Linked DNA regions of Canis lupus familiaris. The main gene of each other region encodes a partner of the protein of the gene in region 2 in a complex. Links are inferred from orthologs where the notes say so. Each region holds a gene or a part of one and is shown on either strand. Other genes may lie near its edges.

Region 1 (3,648 bases), on a different chromosome or scaffold from region 2:
TGTCTGCAGAATAGATGAACTCTCTTTTCTCACAATGAAATATATTAAATCTACTATTTTTGAATAGTAGATTAAAAACAAAATAAAATAAAAACAAAATAAAATAAAAACAAAAAAAATAAGGGCATTACAACTTAACAACATACACCTATGAAAACGTTAATGAGCTAATATGAAGACAGTACGTGACTATATAATTTCCTTCCAGACTGATGAATACATAATCCAGTAATTTTTAAAGGCTTGTGGAAAGTGCCTGATAATAGGTAGTTGGATTATTAGGAACAAAAAAATATTTCTGTTGATGCTGGGATAGAGCATGAAAGTAAAAAAATCTACATTATAATTAACATGCCTCTTTAATTCATTCAGTCACCAAGTATCTACAAAGTACCTGTATGTGTTGGGTGCTAGAAATAGAGAGGATCCTGTCAATTTTGTCTACTATTTCTCAGCTCTACTCTCTCTTCTCCACCTGTCTCCACCATCCTAGGTCAGACCCTACTGCTCACTGGTATGACCTCAACATCCTCCTATCTGACCCTTGCCCCACTTTGGGTTCAGTCAGCACACTACTGACGGCTGGTCTCCAAAATGGTCCCTTAATAAACCACATCTCTGAGTATCCACACCTTATGCAGTGAACCTGCCACAGGGACTCTAAGTTGGCCCTGTGTCACCAAAAAAATAAAATATAAAATAAATAAATAAAATAAAATAAAATAAAATAAAATAAATAATAAAATAAAATAAAATAAAATAAAATAAAATAAAATAAAATAAAATAAAATAAAAAAATAAAAAATTTAAAAAATGCAGCAGAAGTGCTGCGTGACTTCCTAAGCTTGGTCGATAAGAAGCGTTTCAGTTTTCATTCGGGTCTCTTACAATGCTCATCTGGGGGAAGACAGATGTCACGCAAGAAGTCTGATTACTTGAGATCACCATGCTATGAGGAGCCCAAACTAGCCCCAAAGAGGGAAGGGCAGGGAAGGGGAGAGGGTTAGAGGACAGAAGTGGAAAGAGATACCAACCAAACTGCAGTCCAGGAGCTGGACAAGTGAATGAAGGGAGCCAATGTGGATTTTCTGGACCCACAAGACACCATGTGCAGACCGACTGAAGTTCCAGTATGGCTAATCTGGACATTCACGGCAACCCAGCTGAAGCCCAGACGCTACAGAGCAGAGATAAGCTGTCCCAATGTGTTGGTCATCTCTAGACATTGCTGGTCTCTCTGGACATTCAAGCCAAGCCAGCTGAAGCCCAGACACTACAGAGCAGAGACAGGCTGTCCCAACGTGCCCTGAGTGAATTCTGCCCACAGAATGGTGAGTATAATAAAGCGGCTATTGTTTTGTGTCACTACATACACTTTGGGGTGTCTTGTTGTGCAGCAGTAGGAAATCCGGACAGCTTTCATGCCACTTCTATTATGTGGGTATTACCACAGCATTCTCCTACCACTTAAAACCCTTTAAAGAATCTTCTTCATCACGAGGATGAAGTCAAGGTTCTTTAAGACAGCTGAGAAGACATTTTATGCCATCTTCCCATCTATCTCCTACCGCTCTGTCAAACATATATATCCTAGACTCTAAACATATTGAACCAACTTAATGCAATGATTCCTTTCACACCCTTTTTACATTCACATACTCTACCCCTACCTGGCATGCCCTTCCCACGCCCACTCATCCTGACTTCCCGGGCAAACTCATATACTTTTTTAGAACTTGAGCCAGGCTAACAGCATCCCCATCCCAGGAATGATGAAATGTTCCTACGATACCCTCTACAGCATTCCGTAATTATTTATTCATCCCAATGGTTGTCCCTTTAACCTATGGAGTAAAGATTTCTATTTTGTTAACATTTCCGTAGCTGTGACTCTGTGACAGCGTCTGGTCCACATTAGGCACTCAATACGTGTCTGTTAAATATGAATAGCAAAGCAATGTCTTTTCCTCCTCTCTATATTTCTCAAGCACTAGATGACATATCTAACAACCACTCTTCACATCTTTTTTTTCATATGGTAAATATAATAGTAAATGTGTCTTTTTATGCCCAGGCAGGATGGATAACTTTGAGGAATAAAGCTACAGGTCATACAACCTTAAATGCAAAGCACACAAAGAAAAAAACAGTTTCACTTTCTCCAAATTCAGTGTGTTCACAAGCTTGTGTGCCCCAATTCCTGAATATAACACCCACCCAAAGAATAAAAGTCACTAACAGAAGATTCTTTCTCCACCAATATGAAAGGTACAGGTGGGGTGTCTGAGTGGCCCAGTTGGTTAAGCAGCCAACTCCTCATTCTGGCTCAGGTCCCGATTGTGGTGTCCTGGGATGGAGGCCCGGCTCGCATCGGGCTCCCTGCTCAGCTGGGAGTCTGCTTTCCCCTCTTCCTCTGCCCCTCCCCCACTGCTGTACACTCTCTCAAATAAATAAAATCTTTAAAAAAAAAAAAAAAAAAGGAATGCTCAGTCTAGAACAAGCTATTACTTTGTTATCCCTGATAATTTCTTCCCACTCACATAATGGTGAAACTACTCTGGTTTGAGAAATATGGCATTTAGGTCATAATTTTTAGAGGCATCTAACTGTGGGAAGCAACCCAGCACCCAAAAGGACTTGGCTCAGTTTAAGGTGTGCTGGTTCTTGGTGTGGGGGTTGAGTGCAAGACTCTAACATCTAGCAATTCAGGGCATTTCCTGTGGCCTGAAGAAACTAATCTGCACAATCAACAAGTCAACTAGTTGAGTCTGTAATAACTTCCAGATCAAAGATCACTGGCTGTTGCTACACATAGAGGGTTACAAAGTTACAAAACAAAGTGAAATAAAGAAGGGAAAAGTAGGGATGCCTGGGTGGCCCAGTGGGTTGAGCCTCTGGCTTCGGTTCAGGGTGTGATCCCAGGGTCCTGGGATCGAGTTCTGCATCGGGCTCCCCACAGGGAGCCTGCTTCTCCCTCTGCCTGTGTCTCTGCCTCTCTGTGTCTCTCATGAATAAATAAATAAAATCTTAAAAAAAAAAAAAAAAAGGAAAAGTACTCCGTCACTATATACCAGAAAGAAAAACATACTTACCTTCTCTTCTGAGGAAATGGTAAGTTTGTCACTTGAGATTAAGCTGCACACTTGTTCGATGCCGAGATTGAGAAATTCCTCACTAAGTACAACATCTGCAAAATGCTGCTCTGTTGGGAGGTTAAAAATAAAATCCATTAACACCGACATTGTGTTATCCAGCTTCAAACTGCTTCAAAAGGAGGAGGTTTTTCTTAATCTAACCTAAGACTGAGGAAAAACAACTGTATTTCCTCCAGGCAAGAACCAACAAAACCCAAACCAGCTACTCAGGGGAAGTGGTCTCTACTTCAATAAGAAAGTACAGGCACAGGTAGGAGAGCCGGGTATCCTACAGCTGCCCGCCTCTGTATCACATGGTGGGGCTTCTGAGTTAACATTGTATTCCTTATGTGGTAATAAGATTTTCAGTATTGAAATACGTAAAACCTATTGATGACATAAATCAAGTACATGGTGTACATTTTACACCCCTGAATGTAAAATACTTCCAAACCTAATGGAATAAGGAGGGAAACCTGCTTTATTTGAAAACTTTATTTTTTTTAATTTTTTT
Region 2 (3,640 bases):
GTGTTGAACACAATTTTCTAGAACAAGGGCCCATGGCTTTCATCAGATTCTTAAATGGGGTAAAGCCATTGTCTTAGGGGTCCCAGAGATGAAGGAGTTAGAGCCAAGGGGAGTGGTGAAGGCAGTGAATCATGACATCTGGAGCAGAGAGGTGGAAGTGACCTGAGGGGTCTGACCTGGGGGCCCAGGGGGTCCTCAGCAGCCTCCACAGGGCCAGTATCTCTCTTCAATAGGGTCTCCACTCGCTGGATAATCTCCCGAATACGGCTCAGGAAGCCAGCTCGCTCCGAGGGCAGAATGAACTCGTTATATACCTGGCAAGGGGTCAGCAGGAAGGGCAGAGAAGGCTCAGTTATCCCCACTCATCCCTCCCTGCTGCACTGATCTTTCAAAGCCAACCCTTTACACCACTGCTCTGCCAACCACCAACCTAAAACAAGTATTCAATAAGTATCTACTGTGTGCCAGAAACCATATGGTGTAAGGAGAAATAAATTTAGAAGACAGGAGCTAACATTCCTAGTATGCATTATAGCTCAGGTGTTTTACATGTCTTATCTCATTTAATGCCAACAATGACTCTCCAGCATCTGTACTAACATTCCCATTTTATTTTTTTAAATATTTATTTATTTATTTATTTTTTCATGATAGACACACACACATGGTGGGGGGGGGGGGGCGGGGGGAGACACAGGAGGAGGGAGAAGCAGGCTCCATGCCAGGAGCCCGACGTGGGACTCGATCCCAGGACTCCAGGATCACGCCCTGGGCCAAAGGCAGGTGCCAAACCGTTGAGCCACCCAGGGATCCCTAACATTCCCATTTTAGAGTTAAGATAACCAATTGCAGGGCTCCCTTGGTGGCTCAGCGTTTTTTTTTTTGTGTGTGTGTTTTGTTTTGTTTTTAAGATTTTATGTATTTATTAATGAGAGACAGAAAGAGAGAAGTGGAGACACAGGCAGAGAAAGAAGCGGGCTCCCTGCCTGTGTCTCTGCCTCTCTCTCCCTCTGTGTGTCTCATGAATAAATAAATAAAATTAAAAAAAAAAAAAAAGATAACCAATTGCTCAAAAAAGAGTGAGTTCAGTCTGCCAAAAATGACAGGGTTTGCACCCAGATTTGTCTAAAGCCAGAGCCTGAGCTCTTTCCACTATTGCATCATATGCTTTTGGACACAACTCCTGCTCTTGCAGGGAGTTGCACTTCTTATGAAGTGTACTATCCAAGTGCTCTCTCTCTCTCTCTCTCTCTCACACACACACACACACACACACACACAGTACAAATAAGACAAAAGACAGTAAATGTATCATTCAATTTCACAAACACTTGAGCACATACTATGTGCCAGGCATTGTTTTAGGTCCAGGTACACTGTTCCAGGTGAGGAATACATAGAAGCATAAAACAAATCCTGGTCCTGAAGAAGCCCAAAATCTAGCCGAAGAGACACATATATACATAATATATTGCAAAGGCATGGTAAGAAAGGCATTCTGATCAAGGTATAGATAAAATACTAAACCAGCTAGAAGAAAGGGAGAGTCGCTTAATGGTACAGTTTCACCAGATTTGCAAAATGAAGAGGTTCTGGAGACCCGTTTCACAACAATGTGAATACACATAACCCTGCTGAACTGCATTTAAAAATGGTTACGGTAAATTTTGTGTTCTGTATTTTTTGCCACAATTTTTTAAAATGCCATTCCAGAGAGAGAGCAGATCATGTCACCCAGGAGGATAAGGGAAGCTGGGATGGCTTCACAGAGCTGAACCTTGAAGGATGAGTAAGAAAGCAACCCTTCTAGGGACACCTAGGTGGCTCAGTGGTTGAGCACCTCCCTTCAGCTCAGGGCGTGATCCTGGGGTCCTGGGATTGAGTCCCACACTGGGCTCCCTGCATGGAGCCTGCATCTCTCTCTGCCTGTGTCTCTGCCTCTCTCTCTGTGTCTCTCATGAATAAATAAATAAAATCTTTAAAAAAAGAAAGAAAGAAAGCAACCCTTCACTGAAGACCTATCATGGGAGAGCAAAAGACCTCAGCAGGTCAAAGAAACAATAAGAATAGGGAAATGCAGGCACCCTGCATGGAGCCTGCTTCTCCCTCTGCCTGTGTCTCTGCCTCTCTCTCTCTCTCTCTCTCTCCTCTCAGTGTATTCTCATGAGTAAATAAAATCTTAAAAAAAAAAAAAAGAATAGGGACATGCATAAATGGCAACAGCTCTATGCATGTGGCAAGAGCCAATTATTCCTGCCATGTGTCTGTACTGAAAACAGTACATGCTGAAAACAGCAATGATGGTGGATAAGATAGCCAGGCCTCTTGAGGTCGGTTCTTCTGTCCCCTTAAGCCCCCTGGTTAATGCTTCCTTAGACCTGTACAGATGGTCACAGATACAGTTCCCTGACGCCCCTCACAGGATTGCTTTCTTGTTTTTCCTCCCTTGTTTCCACATACTTTACATTCTACTAAATAAAACTGACAGCCAACCTGGACTCAGGGCTTCACCTCGGCACCTGCCCTTCTCGGCGGTGCTTGACAGTGGATCCTCTTCGGGCCTCTCTTTGTTCTAAGATAGGGGACTCTGAGCAATCATTTTGTCTCTCATCGGATCATGCCGCGTGGCAACCTATCACGTGTGGGTACTCCTCATATAATTTCATCTCTCCTATATCTACAACTTCTCATAAATTATGTACCTGTGGCCCAGGGTGTGATCCTGGAGACCCGGGATGGAGTCCCGAGGTGGGCTCCCTGCATGGAGTCTGCTTCTCCCTCTGCCTGTGTCTCTGCCTCTCTCTCTCTCTCAATAAATAAATCTTTTTTTTTTTTTTTAAAGAACATCTTTGCAAAATGGGTATGATGATCTGCATTTTGCTGATAAGCAACGGAGGTTCACAGGGGTTAAAAAAGTTGCTCCAGTTCACCAAATTAGTGAGTAACAGTGGAACTCTGAACTCAGATCTTATGTGAAAGCCTACCCTTTCCTCCATTCCATGTTGTCCTTTTGGAGAGAAGAGCTGAGAGAACAGCATGAGTGATAGCTCTGAGGCATGAAAGGACATGGCATATTCACAAAGCGGTGAAGACCAGAGCAGAGCTGGAAGTGCGGGGAATTTCAAAGGCCATGCTCCAGAACTGGGACCTACTCTGTAACCACAGGTAGCCATTAATTGTGTAGGGGCAGAAAGCAAGGGCTGATTCAAGTCTCAGGATAATTCTGCTGCAGAGGAGTGGATGGTGGAATGGTGGGGAGAGAAAACAGGGCAATGGTCAGGGGGAGGGGTCGCTTTGGCTGTGTGGGATCTGAGTGGGCTTGAAACCTAGTAGAGAAGCAAGAGACCCCTGAGCAGATGGAGGCAGAAGTGGAGAGGCACCTGGCCTCTTCAGAGGACCATTCAGAAACTGGTGTGGCTAGAGGAAAGATGATAAGCCCAAGAGCCAAGTGATATTTTGTCTTTGTCCTGGACACAAGGTGAATGACATGATGGAGAAGAAGAAGCTTTAAAGAGGGTTCCTGAAGCCTGATGCTTCTCTCATTCCCCTTTCTCCTTCACCACAGAGGCTGGCATCCCTGCCCACGCCACTGAAACTAGTCTCCCACAAAGACCTTCTTCTGACAAAAGACAGTGTGGTC

The links. Proteins that work in one complex are often made in the same cells at the same time.
Region 1: the proteins of WNK4 (region 2) and KLHL2 are in contact, whole or in part, in a crystal structure (PDB 4CHB), measured with the Homo sapiens proteins. The link is inferred for Canis lupus familiaris from reciprocal best matches to the Homo sapiens genes WNK4 and KLHL2. Residues at the interface, in NP_115763.2 of Homo sapiens: Glu557, Pro558, Glu559, Glu560, Pro561, Glu562, Ala563, Asp564, Gln565; in NP_009177.3 of Homo sapiens: Arg345, Phe361, Gly363, Ser364, Leu365, Arg366, Thr392, Phe408, Gly410, Ser411, Thr412, Gly413, Ser438, Ser439, Tyr455, Ser487, His504, Arg534, Tyr583.

Annotation. Positions count from the first base shown.
Region 1 is NC_049236.1:61,745,794-61,749,441, reverse strand, and holds part of KLHL2 (kelch-like protein 2), read right to left. Parts: intron 3,203-3,648; coding exon 3,093-3,202; intron 2,433-3,092; exon of another isoform or gene 1,223-2,432; intron 1-1,222. UniProt on the Homo sapiens protein: Substrate-specific adapter of a BCR (BTB-CUL3-RBX1) E3 ubiquitin ligase complex that mediates the ubiquitination of target proteins, such as NPTXR, WNK1, WNK3 and WNK4, leading most often to their proteasomal degradation.
Region 2 is NC_049230.1:20,099,929-20,103,568, forward strand, and holds part of WNK4 (serine/threonine-protein kinase WNK4), read right to left. Parts: intron 315-3,640; coding exon 177-314; intron 1-176. UniProt on the Homo sapiens protein: Serine/threonine-protein kinase component of the WNK4-SPAK/OSR1 kinase cascade, which acts as a key regulator of ion transport in the distal nephron and blood pressure.